Linked DNA regions of Drosophila melanogaster. Each later gene encodes a partner of the first gene's protein in a complex. Each region holds a gene or a part of one and is shown in the gene's direction. Other genes may lie near its edges. The genes, in order: mof, msl-2 and msl-1.

Region 1 (5,555 bases):
TTTGCAGCGATTGGTGCGTTCCGAGGCCCACACACCGGATTCGCCTGCCTCTGTTTGCGAACGCGACGGAAACGATCGCCTGGGATCCGTGCTTCTGGATGCCGTTTCGCCAGGGACACCCTTTGGCTTTCCGCTCGTCAGCAATCCGGATTCCTTGGCTACGCCTATGTTGGGCGGCGAGCGTTCGTCGCGACCGCGACTTCCACAATCCCAACAGCAGCAGGATGAGGGTCTGAATCGCCGGGTGTCCAGCTCCTGTCGATCGCTAGAGCGCCTGCATCGCGGACCAGGTCGGGTGTCCATCTGGTCCAACATGATGCCCAGCCAAGTGGCGCATCCGTTTCAGGGCGCCATGGGCGCACAGATCGTGTGCAATGGCTGCGGCTCCAAGTCGGCCGTTCGGTACGATAAGTTCGACAGCATAACGCTAAATCTGCCGCCGCAACGCAGAACTGGCTTGAGTTTGGGCCACTTGCTTAGCGAGTATATCACATCGGAGGATCTGAGCGATGTCAAGTGTGACTCCTGCAACGAGACCACCACGCACACCAAATCGGTTACGTTCGCTAAACTACCGGCCTGCCTGTGCATCCATGTGGCGCGGACGGTGTGGCTGCCAACTGGACAGGTGTGCAAGCGGAAGGACTATGTACACTTCCCCGAGAGCCTCTCCATGGCGCCCTACAGCTTCGTGCAGCCGCATCTCAATAGCCAGGTGAGCGTGTGTTGCATATGTTTGCCCCAGAATAACAAACTTCCCCTGTAAAAATTATCCTTATATATGATCATTTAAATACATATATCTAAAGGATATATATGTATAGGATATATCTATAGAATATAGGTCTTTCCTTTTCTAATTGGTGTACAAAGAGTAGTGGCATTCAATTCAAGAACTGTTTACATTTAGTAACTAGCATATTGTTAAAACAAACACTTTTGCTCATGATTACAGGCTGGCACTCCCTGGGGCTCGACAATGTCGCTGTATTCCTCCAGCCTGCCGATGAACAATGGCGTTGGTGGTGGCGAGGGCTTTGGCACGATGTTCCCCAAGAATCTTTACCGGCTTCTGGCCGTGGTGGTGCACTCCGGGGAGGCAAACAGCGGTCACTTTGTAACCTACAGGCGTGGCTCGTTGCGGAACGCACATCGGTATGGTTTCCATTGCCTCTGTGTAATAATTATGCTAATTCTGTGCTATCCTTATTAGGTGGTACTACACATCGGATACAATTGTGCGGGAGGTGAGCATCGACGAGGTGTTGAGCGTCCCCGCCTATCTTTTATTCTACGATCGTGGCCAGCAGAGGCAGCTAAATCTGCGCTAGTCAGGTGTAGGTCGTCGGTATTATTCTAGTCCATACTTTTGATGTGATGAATATGAATATCCGAAACCAAATCCTTTTCGTCGAACGGTGGCCATAGCAAACACGCGTCACATTTATATAGATATATATACATAACTCATATAAGTACGGGAACCCACGATGATCTGACCTATACTCGGCGGGTTCATGTAATGGTCTCCGCATAATCCAAACTCTGTGTACGGCTTATTGCATATAGGAACTCCCTATCGTAACAGAGAGCTCGACTCTTCATTTGTTATCTATGCATTTAAGATTTTTTAAGAATTCCAAATTCATGCCGTGCTTTTAGCTGTCTGTATTTAGCAATGTACACAAATCAACTACCAATAATTGTTTGCGCGTTAATTCTGTAGGATAGATGTTCAATAAAAATTTCGAAATCAGTTCCAATTTTTTAAAGTGCTTTCTCTGAAGGTTTTGGATAAATAAAATATATTATAATACTGAATGCACAGAAAAATCCAGAAGGGTAATTTCAAAAAGGGTGCAAAGTATTGTACATCGATAACCACCGATTAATAATCGATTATCTGGACATGTTGTGATAAATCAGGGTTGCATTTCACGCCGTATTTCGTTTCATTTCCCTAAAGAGTGAACAAAAATACGCAATTGGACAAATCTAGTGGCTAAGAATGTCTGAAGCGGAGCTGGAACAGACACCCAGCGCGGGCCACGTGCAGGAGCAGCCGATTGAGGAGGAGCATGAGCCGGAACAGGAGCCAACCGATGCGTACACAATTGGCGGTCCGCCGAGGACGCCGGTTGAAGATGCGGCGGCCGAATTGAGCGCCAGTCTAGACGTCAGCGGCTCGGATCAGTCGGCGGAGCAGTCGCTCGACCTCAGCGGTGTCCAAGCGGAGGCCGCGGCGGAGTCAGAGCCACCGGCGAAGCGCCAGCATCGCGACATCAGTCCCATTTCGGAGGACAGCACGCCGGCGAGCAGCACATCGACTAGTTCCACCAGGTCGTCCAGCTCCTCCCGCTACGACGATGTTAGCGAGGCGGAGGAGGCACCACCGGAGCCCGAGCCGGAGCAACCACAGCAGCAGCAGCAGGAGGAAAAGAAGGAGGACGGTCAGGATCAGGTGAAGTCACCAGGTCCAGTTGAATTGGAGGCACAGGAGCCCGCGCAGCCGCAGAAGCAGAAAGAGGTGGTGGACCAGGAAATTGAAACCGAGGATGAGCCCTCCTCCGATACGGTAATCTGCGTGGCCGACATCAACCCCTACGGCAGTGGTTCCAACATTGACGACTTCGTTATGGATCCCGATGCTCCTCCCAATGCAATAATCACCGAGGTGGTTACCATTCCAGCTCCTCTTCATCTCAAAGGGACACAACAACTGGGGCTGCCATTGGCTGCCCCACCGCCACCACCACCTCCTCCAGCAGCGGAACAAGTCCCCGAGACTCCCGCCTCGCCCACAGATGACGGCGAGGAACCACCAGCAGTATATTTATCCCCCTACATACGCTCTCGCTACATGCAGGAATCGACACCTGGCCTGCCCACCCGCCTGGCGCCGCGTGATCCTCGCCAGCGCAACATGCCGCCGCCAGCCGTAGTTCTGCCCATTCAAACCGTACTTAGCGCCAACGTTGAGGCCATTTCTGACGACAGCAGCGAAACTAGCAGCAGCGATGACGATGAAGAGGAAGAGGAGGACGAAGATGATGCCTTGACCATGGAGCACGACAACACTTCCAGGGAGACGGTCATCACAACAGGTGACCCTCTGATGCAAAAGATCGATATAAGCGAAAATCCCGACAAGATCTATTTTATTCGGCGCGAGGATGGCACCGTGCACCGTGGCCAGGTGCTTCAGTCTCGCACCACTGAGAATGCGGCCGCTCCCGATGAGTACTACGTCCACTATGTTGGTCTCAATCGCCGCCTGGACGGATGGGTGGGCAGGCATAGGATCTCGGACAATGCGGATGACTTGGGCGGTATTACCGTGCTGCCAGCGCCACCATTAGCCCCCGATCAGCCAAGTACTAGCAGGGAAATGCTCGCCCAACAGGCCGCCGCGGCGGCAGCTGCCTCATCCGAACGGCAGAAGCGTGCGGCCAACAAGGATTACTATCTGTCCTATTGCGAGAACAGTCGCTATGACTACAGCGACCGCAAGATGACACGCTACCAGAAGCGGCGCTACGATGAGATCAACCACGTGCAGAAGAGCCACGCTGAGCTGACCGCCACGCAGGCGGCGCTGGAGAAGGAGCACGAGTCCATTACGAAGATCAAGTACATTGATAAGCTGCAGTTTGGCAACTACGAGATCGACACCTGGTACTTTAGTCCCTTCCCCGAAGAATATGGCAAGGCACGTACGTTATATGTTTGCGAGTACTGCCTAAAGTACATGCGCTTCAGGTCGAGCTATGCCTATCATCTGCACGAATGCGACCGCAGGCGTCCGCCCGGAAGAGAGATCTACCGCAAGGGCAATATATCCATTTACGAGGTGAACGGCAAGGAGGAGTCACTATACTGCCAACTTTTGTGTCTGATGGCCAAGCTCTTTTTGGACCACAAGGTTCTATACTTCGACATGGACCCGTTTCTCTTTTACATCCTTTGCGAGACGGACAAGGAGGGCAGTCACATTGTGGGCTATTTCTCCAAGGAAAAGAAGTCGCTGGAAAACTACAACGTGGCCTGCATTCTGGTATTGCCGCCGCATCAGCGTAAGGGATTTGGAAAGCTACTAATAGCCTTTAGCTATGAGCTGTCGCGCAAGGAGGGCGTAATCGGTAGTCCGGAGAAACCGCTCTCGGATCTGGGTAGGCTGAGCTATCGCAGCTATTGGGCATACACGCTGCTGGAGCTGATGAAAACCCGCTGCGCTCCAGAGCAGATCACAATCAAGGAGCTGAGCGAAATGAGTGGCATCACCCACGACGACATTATCTACACGCTGCAGTCCATGAAGATGATCAAGTATTGGAAGGGCCAGAATGTCATTTGCGTTACGTCCAAGACCATTCAAGACCACCTCCAGCTGCCGCAGTTCAAGCAGCCCAAGCTGACCATCGACACCGATTACCTCGTCTGGAGTCCGCAAACTGCAGCGGCAGTGGTCAGAGCTCCGGGAAATTCCGGCTAGCATACGGAACCTGGAGACCCCGTTCTGCTATCATCGCATATAATTGTTATTGACGATGACGATTAGGTTTTTTTTTTTTATTTTTTTTTAAAGAAAGCGTAGGAATAAGCTATTCTATTGCACCCCTCCAAACGAAAAATGTATAGTCATATATCTAAATGGAACCATCAGAAGGTTCAATGTAATACTTAACATTTGGTTTACAATTTTTTTTTTTTATAGTTAAGGAGTTTTACGGATAGGCTGTTGTAACTCTTAATGATAGAACCAAATGTCTAATTCGTTTGGCTAATGTTTTTGGAGAGGGAATTTGGAACAACCATTTAAAAATTTTAAAAACTTCTGTGTTCTTGAAATATATATCTTTAACTACTTTATCTCGAAAAACTCTGGACTTGTTAAAAACCAAATAAACTTCCACAGCAGCCGATATGCCGACGCCTGAAGAGAATACATCTCTATGAACTCCTTACACGTAAGATAGCATAATCTCTCCACGGTACATTTTTATACACTATAATTAAGGAAGAGAATCCATAATATCTTTTAGGCTACACATTAGGTTAAGTTCAGAAAGAACTGAACGATTCCTACTGACTAATGAACAATAATAAATGATTTAAACTGTAAAAAAGAAAAACTCCAATCTGAGAACATGATGTACTTTCTCAAATAAATGCGTCGTTACATTAACGTCAAAAAGAGGAAAAATTAAATAAATATTTACAACGACAGGTTATTCTTTTCATTATTTTTGCAACACATTTCTTGTAGGTTAGCTTAATATGTATATTTTGATATAATAAAAAATATATATAGAAATATCGAAAACATTGGAAAAACAAGTTTAAAATTTCGAGCATTAAAATCCATTGCTAACCCTCTCCTCCCTAGCGTCATAAGCAATCGGTTATCGAGGTTATCGATAACGCCCGCATCGATACAATTCCGCCGGCTTGTCCGATTCGTGTTGTTGTGATTCGGGATATATACAGGATATAGGGCAGCCAAAATGGGCCTGCTGTCCGATCCGTCGATATCGACGCAAAGCAAGCTGGTGGAC
Region 2 (6,594 bases), on another chromosome or scaffold:
TCCAAAGTATTTGAGGCTGGACAGGCCTATGTGGCCTTATCCCGTGCGAAATCCCTGCAGTCCATTCGCATCCTGGACTTTGACGCCAAGCAAGTGTGGGCCAATCCACACGTGCTGCAGTTCTACAAGGGATTCAGACGCAAGCTAATGGACACAACCATGATACCATTGGGTCCCAAAAACAAGGACAAGAAGCCAGGAGACAAGGCCGCAAATAGCGCTCTGGCTAAGCTCAAAAAGAGTCTCATCAACAAGCCGCTGGTCTCGATTAGCTGAGCTCGAAAGTAATCTAAGATAGCGTAATTCTAGAAAGCTTGAACAAATTTCACTATTGCCTATCTATTGGTATCTATTTCTAAAAGTGTAATTTTTTCTTTTTTTAAGAAAAGCAAATGATTTATGGACTGTGCATTCCTTTTTTTAAAAAATGAGAAATTATGGAACTCTTTTTGAAATTGTCTAAATTTTCGAAAAAGTCTGAAGAATTACAGTGTGAGTTTTATGATTTATCACTATATTCTGTAAACTTATTGCAGTACGCAGGCAAAAACTTTATTTTACTCACTGGAACAACTTAACCAAGGCTCTTAATCTTGAGAACTATTAGTTTTAAGCTAGTCTATAGCCAAAATTCTATATCAAACGCCAATATTAATATTTATTTTAAGAAAAACATGACTAAGAATAAATGCAACTAATAGACAAATGAATTGAAACTGCTGTAGTAATAAATAATTCCTAGTAGCTCTTACCTTATAATTTACACTGAAACAATTGAAAGAAAGCTCAATCCTTGGGAATATCGTTTTACGGCGTGTATATTTTGTTTTAACGGATAATGAAACTAGAAAACATCATCATAAAAGCGGAGTTTAATGGGCGGCCTCCTCCTTCATGCCACTGCCCACTGGTCCATGACGACGCTCCCAGATCAGACGATGCTTCTGCTTCATGTACGCGGTCTTGGCATTGGCGTAGCCTCCCAAGTCGCCATCTATAATGGGTTATATCTCGTTATATATCACATACAACTTTAAAGAAGATGGGTAAGGGATTCCACTCACACTTGATGAACCAGTTCTCGGTGGCCTTCTCGTACTGATCCATCAGCGGCCTGCACTTGACCATGTGATCGGGTGCCTCGTAGAGGGTGCAGTCCTCGAAGCGCTGGCGCAGAATGTTGACAATCTCGTTGTCGACCATGCGATCCCGGCGGAACTGCTGATCGGCCTCGAAACGGCAGACGGCATCGTCCGTGTAGCACTGGTCGATCGTCGGAACGCGGCGGAAGCGCTGGTGGTACCAATTCTGCTTCTGCTGGTTCGGCTCCACAATGCTCTCTGTGGGATTAACACAAGGCGCATTAATAAAATATACTAGCTGTAATGCATTTCTGTTGAAAAACATGATCCCGCTTTGACTAGATGAACTATATAGTAACGGACGGCATTTAAGGGCTGCCGACTAGTATTCTAAGAGATTTAGTTTGCGCTAGCTAGAAATTACTTAAAACGGTTGATTATAAACATTTTAGCATTTCAGCAATACAGTGTAAACAAAAACAAATGGACTGCGAGTTGAGGTTATGTCATTATGTAATTGTCTGGAATTTGTCCGGTTTTTCCGATCGTTGGCCAAAGGAAACGCAAACTTGCAGCATCTGGAGACTCCCATGACCATGGCCATTGGGAATCCCTGTGGACTACATACCACGGAACCAAGTTATGGGTCCATCGATGACATTCAGCACCGACTCGGCAAAACTGGCCATCGGACTGCGCGGTTCCGGCATTTTCTGGCTCTCCTACCACCTGGCGTAAGCGGAAGAGCTGTTAGTAAATAATTTCCAAGGTTTTCCGCTTTCCTTTGACGGAAAATACTTAAAAAACCATATTTACTTGAAAAACTAAGTGTTAAAATTTGTTGTAGGACCGCAGTTCGTAACTGCGAAAATTCCTCAGAGCACTGAAATCAGCTGTTCGAGGTAGTGGTCACACCTATGCCGCACTGCAGCTAGCATGTTCGCACTGGCACACTGCGGTCACACTGGCTTCGCTCAGCAAAATATTGCTTGGGTAATTTTTTTTTTTAGTTGCTAATTTATTGTTTTCAACGCTGTTGCACAGTGTGCAGCATAACCATTAACAATGACTTGAGACCTCTCAAACGTAAACCAATTTTTTTTTTTTTTTTGCACGTGAAACATAGTGATAACGAAGCCACAAAAGTGAAACCAACAAAAAGCGTTCCAGTAAAGTTACCATTAGATAATGAAATCGAGGATTAACGCGGTCTAAGCATGTGTAACTGAGCTCCTACGGGCGAGGAATTGCAGGTAACTAGCCCAGGAGGCACCAGGTAGCGGAGCAGGTGGCGTGGGTCGGACCGACAAGGCACTTACTTGGCCAGCGGAGTCTCACTTTTGGGCTGAAAAACGTAAACAAACAGCGGCGTGCGTACAGTCCCGGGCATAAAAATATAGCCATCATGGCCCAGACGGCATACTTGAAGGTGACACGCATCGCGATGCGCTCCGCTTCGAATCTTTCCAAACGGCGGGTGGAGGAGCTGAACTCCGGGCTCGGCGAGCTACGGCAGCTGCTGTCTTGCGTGGTCTGCTGCCAGCTGCTGGTGGATCCCTACTCGCCCAAGGGCAAGCGGTGCCAGCACAACGTGTGCCGGCTGTGTCTGCGCGGTAAGAAGCATCTGTTTCCCAGCTGCACCCAGTGCGAGGGTTGCTCCGACTTCAAGACCTACGAGGAGAACCGTATGATGGCCGCCCAGCTACTGTGCTACAAGACGCTGTGCGTCCACCTGCTCCACTCGGCATTATTTGGTGAGCTGGCCGGGATGCGGCCCCAGGTGGCCAGGGAGCTGGTGCCTCGCATCAAGCTGCCTCCCAAAACCACACAGGAGTTCATTCGCGAGGGCTCAAACATCTCCGACACTTTTGACATCTTTCTGCCCCAGCCGGATTTGCCGTTCCTCAAGGACATGCCCACATCGCTGCCCGCAGAGACGCCGCCTACGTCGGCGGTCACGACTCCGGAACTGCCCTATGATCACCACCTCAACATCAGCGACATTGAGGCGGAGGCGGCGGCCACAGCGGAGCAGGGTCACTTCTCGCCGCTTCCCCTGCTGCCCACAGGATCTCGCATGGGCATGCTCTCTCACGCCGGGCAAATAGTCATTGCCACCGAGAGCTCGGAGTCGGGCTTCATGGACCAAGCGTGGACGGATCAGGTAGACCTGTCTGGCACGGTTTCGGTGTCCAAATACACAAATAGCGGCAACAACTTTGCTGTCTCCTACGTGATGCCCACTTCTGCGACCACGAAGTTCGATCCACAGGAACTGCAAATCGGCCAGGTGGTGCAAATGGCGGACTCCACTCAGTTGGCTGTGCTGGCTGCCGTTGAGGAGACCGTCGAGACGTCCACACAGTTGACTGTGCTCTCCACCACCGTTGAAGAGACCGTTGAAACATCCACGCAGCTAGAAGTGCTTACCTCCGCTGAGGAACCCAACGAAATCTCTGATCAATTGGCTAATCTGCAAGTTGAGGAATCTGATGAGGCTCTGGTTGAAGAGACCGTTGAAGAGGCCGAAGGGACCTCAATCCCGTCAGAGGTTGTAGCTGAGCACATGGAGGAGGATCAACACTTGGATGTGCACACTTCACAGTCACCTACACAAACCGAAATGGAGGAAGCAGTGGAGGAGCATGTTGCCACAAAAACACAATTGGGTCATGTGCAAACAGAATTGCAGGATGCGGAGTCGTTGCAGAAAGATTTTGAGGACGCAAAGGCAGCGGCTGAAGAGGCGAAGGAGAAGGAGAAGGACCTGCACGCAATCAGTGCTGAGCTGCAGAAGGAGGACAGTGACGAGCCAACACTTAAGCGAAAGAGAACCCGTACTCTCAAAGCGTCACAAGCTGCCAAAATTGAGCCTGTACCGTCTGAGGTCAAGACTAAAGTGCAATCTGGAAAGGGCGCTCTTCGCAGGATTCGGGGCAAGGACAAGGAGGAAAAGGTGAAGCCTCCGAAGCCGAAGTGCCGCTGCGGTATCTCCGGCTCGAGCAATACCCTCACCACCTGCCGGAATTCCCGATGTCCTTGCTACAAGAGTTACAACAGCTGTGCCGGGTGTCATTGCGTGTGCTGCAAGAATCCGCACAAGGAGGACTACGTTGAAAGTGATGAGGACGATGATTTGGAGGATTTCGAAATGCCGAAGGACGTTCCAGAGCCGATGACTCAGTCGGAGGAGCCGGTGGTAGCTGAGCCTAGGCAGGAGGAGAACAGTATGGCGCCGCCAGACTCTTCTGCCCCCATAAGCCTAGTGCCGCTAAATAATTTGCAGCAATCCCAGCATCCTTTGGTGCTTGTTCAGAATGAGAAAGGCGAGTACCAGGGTAAGTTACCTCATCGCTGTGTTAGACCTATCTAACCCTGTTCCAATTGCAGGCTTCAATATCTTCCAGGGCAGCAAGCCCCTTGATCCGGTCACCGTTGGCTTCACTATTCGTGTCCAGCTGCAGCACACCGATGGCTTCGGTTCCCTTCCCCAGTATGCTTATATAATGCCAACAATTGACCCGCCGAATCCACCAGCTCCATCACTTTCGCCACCACCGCCTCCTGCTCCTGACAGGGAAGTCATCGAGCCACCGGCCAAGAAATTCAGGACCAGTCGAACACGCCGAGGAAGGGCCAACTTCTCGGCCCTCGACACGGTGGATGAGCTTGTCAGTGGCGGATCCAGGAGCAATTCTGCCGCTGGCGACAGATCATCGGCCACTGACAATGCCCATTCACTGTTCGAGGAGATCATGTCGGGCTCGGATGACTTGTAAGCAAGACGACTCATCCCTATATGTTTGTTTTTTTATGTGCTCAGTGATGTCCAGGTATCAATCCTTTAATAGATAATTTTTATGTACGTTATGGATGGTCGAATTCAGCACTGAATTGCATCCATAACGTGGTATCGTCTTTGATCCTCTTATCATACCCGTTATTCGTAGAGTAAAAGGGTATACTAGATGTGTTTCCGACCATGTAAAGTATATATATTCTTGATCAGGATCAATAGTCGAGTCGATCTGGCCCTGTCCGTATGAATGTCTCGATCTCAGGAACTATAAAAGCTAGAAGGTTGAGATTAAGCATATAAATTCTAGAGACATAGATGCAGCGCTTGGTTGTTTACCCATGTTGCCACGCCCACTTACCGCCCAAAACTTCCACGCCCACAATTTTAAATTTTTTCTCATTTTATTTCCCAATATCTCTTGGATATCCCAGAAAAATGATGAAATTTCGCGTTCGTATTTCCACTAGCTGAGTAACGGGTATCTGATAGTCGGGAAATTCGACTTTAGCATTCTCTCTTGTTTTTAACTTGTGGTTTCGTTATGCTATATATTCCCCCACTCAAACAACTTCCACTCAAATCAACTCCCAAATATCTTTTAGGAGCATTCTACAATCTGATTTTTGTAATCATCCAGCAAACGTTTCCAAAACTCAATTTTTTTTTAATACGTATTAAGCCAAAAGTCGTATACATAACTATTTAAAGCAATTCTGCAGCTGCAGCAAAGATAATCTATTTAAGAGTAAAGCATTAGTCAAAACTAAAGATTATTTTCGTTCAACGAACAGCGAATTATAGATTGCTTTGCCCAAAATGTGGATGCTGTGAGCTAAAAAAAACCTTTTTTTTTAATAGGCTAAGACATTTTTTTGAATAGGCTAAGACTTTTTTTGAGCATGAATTTTTTTGAGCACGTGAACCTAGGATTAAGAACAACAATTCAAGTAAGCCATATATACCCATATTATATATGCGAACATATAACTATTAAAATATTCAAATAAAAATGAGCATTGCTACTACAGAAAAATGCGCGATTTTCTTTGGGTTTCAAAACCGTTTTCGAACCGTAACACTCTTTGCCTCATGCAAGCTGCTAGTTCATGATTTCTAGAACATCGTTCCTGGGAGTGGAGTGAGTTCCATGAGTGCCTACAATGTGCTGGCCGCTTCCGCTCACTTAAGTCACTCAATCTCAATTCCGAGTTTAATCAGCAGCTCCGCGAGCAGAGTCGCCCTTAGATAAGCGGATCGCCGCCTGCGGCTCATCATTATCTTTTGATTAACGCGCCAGTCGACAGTGCGTGTTTGTTCCGAGTAGAGAACGGAGGCTGGCGCGTTTTCTTCCATTTTCCAACTGATAAGCAGAAGCTCCAGCTAATCCCCGAAAGATGAAGCCGTTGATAGTGGTCGTGCTCGTGGGCCTGATGGCAAGTGGCTGCCACATTGTTCACTCCCAGGAGCCTGGCGATGGTAAGACGAATTCCAGTCTGAGCTCTACCGGAACTAAGCCACTCATTAATGACCTTTGAGCAGCTGTGGAGCAGGAAGCCAGCGAGTCGGATGACGCACTTAAGATCAAAGAGAGTCAGGCCAGCATAGCCGCCCAGGTGGAGGCCATGCTCGTGCACTTTCAGCAGGAGGATCCGCAGGGTCTGCCCGGCGTGCCCGTGCCCGATCCGTTGGAGGTGCCCAATGTGAAGAAGAGCA
Region 3 (7,708 bases), on another chromosome or scaffold:
CAGCGGCTGACCATAGTCGCTGATGTCCATCGATGCCAACGGAGCTCCATTCCGATCGAAGGCCGGAGCCACAGAAGCTCCACTTCTGTCGAAGGTCGCATTTACACCGGAGTACGGCGTGGACATTACAGCATTGCCGCGGGAGAATGACGGAGTAGCCAGCGTGCTGTTACTGGAAGCAGTAGACATTTTCCACTGCTGCGGGCTGGGAGGCGCCAGCCTGGACATGGCAATCTGTTCACCTAGCAGGGCGTCGAACTCATCAAAGGGTTCATCGCCGGCACCTTCCTGTTGCTCATCCTGCGCCTCCTCCAGGGCCTCCGCTTCGTGGGCGCGCATCTGCTCCAGCTGACCGAGTCGATATCGCGCCATGTGCACTTGGAGGGGTTTCTTCTTGCCCAGCCGTTCGATATTGTTAAGCACATCGTCAAAGGTGTAGGTGGGATACATACGATGGCCCCAGTGCTGCAGGCGGCGAAGCACCTCGTCGAGATCGGTTTTCTCGTAACCCTTGCCCTTGAATTTGATGTCCTTAAAATAATCTTCGATGGTCTGGATGCCACGAGGACCTCGAAGTGTTTCCACAGTGAGTCGCGGTCGGGGATTTCTCACAGCTCGCTTCTTAGGCTCCACTATCTGGGCATCCTGGCTACCAGGTTCTACGCCGTTGTCCTCGTCGTCCGCAAACAGCTTTTCGCCTTCGCCATCGCTGGGCAGCTGATCCGGGTCAGTCGGAATGTTGTCATTGAATAGGTCATCCACACCATCATCTCCGAACAGGGATGCCATAGAACTAGTGGCCGAAACTTAAATACCAAATAAACAATCTAACAAAATTTTGGCGCCAATTTTTGTTCTTCTTCTCTATCTACCATTCACAGGCGACGCTTGCATAAGTCACAGGGGGCTGCCAACTGAACAGCTCTTTGTTCTTTTAATTTTCCGATTACATAACTATTTGGTCTTTCCCAAAGGCTATTTTGATTTGCTTAGACATATTTTCATTAGTGGGTGGCACTAAAGGTAATTTGTACAGCCAACCCGGCTTTTGCATTGGTGGCAGCAGACATAAGAGATGGCAGCGTGACACGTTTTTTTTATCACTAAGCGACACATTGGCGTCACGAGTTTTTGTTATTCTATTATATTTATACCATTATACAAGGAAGGATAATTCATCCAAAGATTGTAGTTATTTAAATTTAGTGAAATATTTAAAAGGAGTTGGTAATGTAATAAAATTACCAAAAAAAATAAAATAAAATCAATACATTATTAGCTAGCTAGTTTCTTTTTCATCTATTTTCTCATTCCAATTACTCATACCACATAAAAATTGAAAATAATTATCCGGGGAGCAACGGAAGATTATTATTTACGTTGAGAGAAACTGTCCTCTTTTAACTGCTATCCTTGTGGTCTGGCAGAGTAAGAAATAAAAATGTGTTTAACGACATTTAGTCGGAGTTGACGAGCTGCCGCTCTTTATTCTGGTAACTGCAAATTTAAGCTGAAACTTAAAATGATTCTTAAAGCTAACAAAGACTCCGGCCCAATGCTGTCTCAGCACTTTGATATTATGTTTCATACACTAAGCCAACTGTACTAGTTCGTCGGCTCGTGTTAACTTAGCTATTAGCTATTATGTGCAACAAAGTACAGTTTCGTGAAAATATTTTCACTTCGTGACTGTCGTGCTCAGCTCGTGCATCGCAGCAAATTGCCATCTCTATGCCCCCAATCAACTCTGCGCTTTGGCGAAAAGTGGCAACGCCAGCAAAACGCCATACTTTTAAGAGCATTTTCGGGGCGACTTTACATTGTGAGGACAATTGTGGAAAAAGCGGTGAAAGAACGTTCAAAAACGAACCGAAAAACTGCTGCCTAAATGCGGTCACCACGTGCGATAAGAACGCCACGTTTAAAACGATAAATCCATTAGATTCTGGCCAAGAAAAGAGCGGTTCTTTTGCGAGGGCGAGCAAGGAAAATTTAGTGTGGTGCGAAATTGTAATCGGGATTCTACGCATTGTACGGCGTATCAGCTGAAGAGATTGTGTGCACCCCAAGCGACGCAAACAAAACCAAAACAAAACAAAAACATTTGGAGAATTATGAGATCGTAGGACCGACGGCACGGGATTCAATTCGACTGCCATGGACAAGCGATTCAAGTGGCCGCCCAAAAAGCGGGCCAACTACTTGGAATCGCCCTATCCCCACATACCGTCGCGTGGCCGCCAAAGGAATCTGCACGGCCATCCCAATCAGACGCAGCATCTTCATCAGCATCCCGGGAAGATCTATGAGCGCCAGCAATATGGCAATGGTCGTGGAGGACATGGCGGGGGTAATAACAACTACCGAAAGCTTTTGCATTCGCTGCCAGCTGAGCATGGTGGCGGAGCCATGGCTCCTCCTTCCTCCGGCGGAACCGTGTGTGCCGGCGCCGATATGGTCAAGCTCATCTCGGAGAACAACAACCTGAGGCGCATGGTTATGTTGAACTTAAACCTGATGCAGGAGCAGACGGACAGCATAGCGGCCAAGGACAAGGAGCTGGACGACCAAAGCGCTAAGATGAGCGTGGTGAAGGCGCAGAATGAGGAATTAAAGCAGGCCGTTGCTCAGTTGGAGGCCGCCAACCAGGAACTATGCAAACAGCTGCGGCGAAAGAACCAGCGAAGGAACGACAATGACGACGACGACGATGATCCCCCACTGCCACCTGCTGCCCCGCAGCAGAAGTTGATACGTTGTCATGCTGAGACGCAAACTGTGTTTCGGGAGCGGGAACAGGGCACACAAACGATAGATGCGCAGCCTCAATTCGCGAATGCACTTCCCAGGGGTATCAACATGAAGGAGTCTCCCGCTCTGGACCATCACGCTGGAGCGGTAACGAATCAGCCAGCCAGCAAACGCTCGGAGAGCAAAGGCCGCGGTGAATTCAACGGTAAAAAGGTGAGCACGTTTATTCTCCAGCGCATGAATCAGGACTTCGAGCACCACATCCACGAGCAAACGGAAGTAGCAGAGGAGCACGAGATGGAGGCACATAAGGAGCAAATATCTCAGGAAGAGGACCAACTGGTCGCTGAGGAAGATCATCTGCATATGCAAGAAGTGCACACCGAGGAAGTCGTTGGAGGCGATATCTTTCATGATGCTTTGGAATCAATTGAAATGGAAGTGGTCACCGAAGAGCTGGTTGATATGGAGGAGCATGGACAGTCCGTGGATGCCAACGGCCATATCGAGGAGGATGATGACGAGGACGACGAAGATGACGAGAATAGTGATAAAGACGATGACAGTGAAGAGGATGATTATCCGTGGATGCATAGCGATGCGGATGTAAACGCCAGAACTGAGGAAGAGCTCTGGCAGAATCAGGTATGTTTAATGTTATTATTTAATTAAAAGAATATATCGAGCAATCCTTTACTCTTTCAGAATTACCTTTTGGAATTGGACCCGACGGAGGAGAAGACCTGTGCGCCTTCGGCCCATTCAACTCCCAATCACCAGCAGAAGTCTTCGACACAGGCAGAGATAAGGAAAGAAGGAAATCAGAATCGGATAACTGAAAAGTTGTTGCAACTAAAGCCTGAGCCAATGGTAGATGCATTAGAAGCGCCGATTCTCCCGAAGTGGGTGGCTTTTAAGAAAAAGGATAAGGAACATGAATCAGTCCCCGAGTCCCCAGAAGTACCCAAGCAGCAGCCGCATCAGGAAGATGCCATCGTTGATCATAATGCAATAAAGAATCAGTTGGAAGTTCCCAAGCCGGACTTAAAACCGAAGGACCAGCCCAAAGACGAACAGAGGCAGGATGGGCAGCTGGATGTTCGCGTGGAACCACAAGAGGATGTTCGTAAGGTACAGAAGGAAACTCTGAAAAGGCAACCAGAGGATGCACCTAAGCACCTTCCGAAAGCGGTAGCCCCAAAGGTTACGAAAACATCCTCTCGAGAAAGCACGTTGCCCAAGGCAAACACCGCTGACATAAAAGACGCTCCCGCTCAAAAAGTAATAGCCAACCATCAGTCCACCAAGACGCAAACGGATCCTGTAAAAACGCAGCGTTTGCAGGTTAAGATCAGGCAGTATGAAATGCATCCTGACATGAGAACCGGCTCCTCCGCCCCGTCTGATATTCGGAAACAAAAGAACGTTGATCCAGTTTCGACGCCCGAGACGAAAACCATTAAAAGTAAAAGTATGTTGGTCAATGATAAAAAGACCACGTCGGAAACGTCTCAGAGCCCAGATCAAGAAATAGATGTGGAAACAGTTAGAAGAAAACTGGCGGAACATTTAAAAAAGGAGCTCCTAAGCCAGAGTCATTCGTCACAGGTTACGCTCAAGAAAATAAGAGAGAGAGTCGCCACAAATCTAATATATCCACCACCCAGTGCACCAGTATCCTCAACAACAATAACCCCAGCGCCTACGCCGTCAACGACACCAACGCCTGGCTCAACGCCACAGCATGCGGTTACATCCTCAATGGACCAGGAAATATCTGCAGCAAAATCGAAATCCAAGGCAGCTGAACAAATAGCAACTCCTCTGACACCTCAATCTAATAGCAGTGTTAGCAGCACCACTTCGACTATCCGAAAAACGCTAAACAACTGTTCACCCCACACGTACAGCAAGGCAACGGCGAGATCGGGAAAACTGCAGTCCAGATTCCGCACTGCCACGTTTCCGTACAGCACGAGAACGTGGGAGGATCAGGAGTTCCACTGTGACAACGAGTTCTTCCTGGAGGAGGCCGACGAGCTGCTGGCGGATAACCCTAGTCTGGAGATACCCAAGTGGCGGGATGTCCCAGTGCCACCCAGTTCGGATAAAATTGACACAGAATTACTGAGCGATGCGACCTTCGAGCGCCGGCACCAGAAATATGTGAAGGATGAGGTCGATCGAAAGTGTAGGGATGCACGTTATATGAAGGAGCAGATACGGCTTGAACAGCTTCGGATGCGACGGAACCAAGACGAGGTGTTGGTTGCGCTGGATCCTCTGCGCGCCTCCACTTTCTACCCGCTGCCCGAGGACATAGAGGCCATCCAATTCGTCAACGAGGTGACAGTTCAGGCATTCGGCGAAAACGTGGTCAACATGGAGGCGCGGGATGATTTCGGTGTGCCTTGGGTGGATGCAATCGAAGCGCCAACCTCCATAGCCAGGTCCAAGGCACTGGCTGAGCCGGTGGCAACGTTGGCTAGCAAAAAAATACCCACCACTGCTGCCGAGGCGAGGCATCAAGAAAATCACTCCTCCTACGTGTTTCCCAAGCGACGCAAGCGCCAGAAGAATCGTTAGCCAGGAAACGCCTGGGGGATCTGATACTGGAGCTAAGCAGAAGACTGTCGGTTGGGGGAAGTCGTTGCGTTTGACATACTAATGATTTTCAGTTTTAAATCATGAATTATTTCTTAAGCTTAACGTGAAAGCACCAGAGTTAACAGTAACGATTACCACAGATCGTCTAGAAGTCAAATAATCCAGAGCAGACGATGTTTATTGTATATATGGTTCCTCAACTGTCCGTTTTTATTTGTGTAATAAAATGAACGGAACGCTGAATTCTGGAACATTAGAAATTCTTTGTTATAGAATCTATAAATTTATGTCAAAGTTTTGTCGTTTCTTATGCGATGAGAGATCTTAAAAGGCAAGTAAATTGAGCTGTCCTATTCAAACATTTTTCTATTAAATTGTTATCATATTTATTTCCTTGAAATATAAATAATTCGATCTTATATTAGATGTAAATGAATCCAAATGTTCGTCGCCTGGTCTGGAAATGATTAGTTTTTAGTTAACGTCTTGCAATTGAAAAGAGTTTCACCCTTGCTTGTTTCCAATGTACGTAAATTACTTAGTCCCACACAGCATGTAATTCAAACCAGTCGCTTAGTTAGATTGGTTAACTCATCTCAGCTTTATCACCTTTAAAATCGCCCGCACTAAAGTGATAAGAACACGAAAGATATTCACATAAGTTATATTGGGCATTTTTTTGGAGAAAAACAATGAAATTCGTAGACTTATATTTTTAAATATTTTTTTTCTTTAGCCCTTATAACCATTTTTTTTGTCTTTGTTTATACTGTTATATCTGTCGATTCTCGAATGCAGACAACGTGTGTGTTGCAAAGAGTTACTCAGGTATATCTCTGATAATTTGTCTTTTTTTTTAGGATTTGATTGTGTAAAAATTGAGTGCGAGTGGTTGTCTGCTTCGAGTAATCAAATTATACATTGGATCTATTGTTTTATTTTATTAACTTCATTAAACTTGTTTTATGTTGTATCGAACAAGAAAGGCCGTTAAGATGAAAACTAGATTTGAAGAATAAATATAAAACTGATTCCCGAACTGCACACCCGTTTGGCCTTATGGGCACCATGTATTTTTGGCTAAATATTGTTTCGTTTAACACTTCTTCTGTTTGACTTTCTGTCGCAATGATATGGAGCCTGCCAACGTCCGGAGAAATCAAATCACCAGCTCGCTTTCGAGTGGCGTCTTATTTTTGTACATTTCGATAGGTGTAAAGTCGGTTACTTGTAATATAGCGTTAAGTAGGCACTGTACCCAAACGCATAGAGATAATTATAATGTAACAAAGTAAATACGATACGATGTACATTGTCCAGGAAAAGGAGGAGCGGAGGGTGGATGAACTTCGTTCAACACCATTTTACACCATTCAATGTAATTAGCGTTAAATAGTTCAATTTACTGAAGCTTCAACTAAAAATCAATTCGAAATTAATTGCCACCATTGTAGAGCCCTAAACAAACTCACCTACTGTAAGAATAAATGTACTACATACAATGTATTTGTATTTGTTTAACAAGTTTTATTGTAAAGATAACGATAATAATATACAGGATAAAGTAAATTGTAAAGCAACGAAATGCAATCAATACTTGGACTTGCAACTTATTTTGCACAGGTGATATGTAAATGAAATTCTAATAATTGACAATGGGTTTATTTAACAGGCCTCAATTGATTTTCCAATGACCTGGCATCGCTTGCTTCTGGTTTCCTTAGATGTCTTTTTGTTTGCGATCATCTCGATATAAACTTGTTTAGGGGCTAATTGCAAATGTATTTAATATCTTAGAAAATGCTTCATTATACTCTATATATTGGCTGTGACAATTTTATCTGACCCTCGTTACCTAATGGAAAACATAACATACAAAATCTTCAACAACCAGAATAGCTGGATTGAAAATCAGTTAAAATACCTTTAAAAAACGGAAAAGCCTAACGGAATTTTATATTATTTATTGCTCTGCGTCAAGTACTGGTGTCCAGTGCTTGCCCACAGCTCATCAATATCGTCAAAGCTCTCGCGCCACAGCTTCTGAAGGAGCTTCCATCCCTTTTCCTGGGTCACCAGGAGGTACTCATTTGTGGGATGCAGCGTGTGGGTGTAGAGTCCCATTACCAGGCTCTGAACAAATCGGGCAGTAACACAGTACTTGAGAAGGGCCAGCTCGGAATTCTCAATTGGGTTCAGACTGGTATAACCGGACAGAAATATGCCACCATTGGCCAAATCGTTGGCCTGCAGTATCATATAAGTGAGGGCAATTCCAATTTCGAAGATCAGTGGCGATTTGCTCGTATCACCGAAATCAATAACTCCCTTGATGGTATATTCAGTTTGA

Evidence for each region.
Region 2: mof (region 1) and msl-2 share a complex: the UniProt entries of both Drosophila melanogaster proteins name them as parts of the male-specific lethal (MSL) histone acetyltransferase complex.
Region 3: mof (region 1) and msl-1 share a complex: the UniProt entries of both Drosophila melanogaster proteins name them as parts of the male-specific lethal (MSL) histone acetyltransferase complex.

Annotation. Positions count from the first base shown.
Region 1 is NC_004354.4:5,873,206-5,878,760, reverse strand, and holds mof (males absent on the first), read left to right. Parts: upstream 1-1,907; 5' UTR 1,908-2,008; coding exon 2,009-4,492; 3' UTR 4,493-4,921; downstream 4,922-5,555. Other genes in the region: Usp30 (ubiquitin specific protease 30), read left to right, coding at 1-715, 956-1,155, 1,214-1,331; GAA1 (glycosylphosphatidylinositol anchor attachment 1), read left to right, coding at 5,505-5,555. UniProt on the Drosophila melanogaster protein: Histone acetyltransferase that catalyzes the formation of the majority of histone H4 acetylation at 'Lys-16' (H4K16ac), an epigenetic mark that prevents chromatin compaction and constitutes the only acetylation mark intergenerationally transmitted.
Region 2 is NT_033779.5:3,461,533-3,468,126, reverse strand, and holds msl-2 (male-specific lethal 2), read left to right. Parts: upstream 1-2,014; 5' UTR 2,015-2,075; exon of another isoform or gene 2,076-2,208; 5' UTR 2,209-2,487; coding exon 2,488-4,420; intron 4,421-4,472; coding exon 4,473-4,861; 3' UTR 4,862-5,909; downstream 5,910-6,594. Other genes in the region: Pif1 DNA helicase, read left to right, coding at 1-276; ND-PDSW (NADH dehydrogenase (ubiquinone) PDSW subunit), read right to left, coding at 873-994, 1,065-1,340, 1,711-1,792; CG3246 (uncharacterized protein), read left to right, coding at 6,276-6,357, 6,421-6,594. UniProt on the Drosophila melanogaster protein: Limiting component of the male-specific lethal (MSL) histone acetyltransferase complex, a multiprotein complex essential for elevating transcription of the single X chromosome in the male (X chromosome dosage compensation).
Region 3 is NT_033779.5:18,682,875-18,690,582, reverse strand, and holds msl-1 (male-specific lethal 1), read left to right. Parts: upstream 1-1,782; 5' UTR 1,783-2,157; coding exon 2,158-3,396; intron 3,397-3,456; coding exon 3,457-5,337; 3' UTR 5,338-6,863; downstream 6,864-7,708. Other genes in the region: CG10336 (uncharacterized protein), read right to left, coding at 1-789; CG31751 (uncharacterized protein), read right to left, coding at 7,318-7,708. UniProt on the Drosophila melanogaster protein: Component of the male-specific lethal (MSL) histone acetyltransferase complex, a multiprotein complex essential for elevating transcription of the single X chromosome in the male (X chromosome dosage compensation).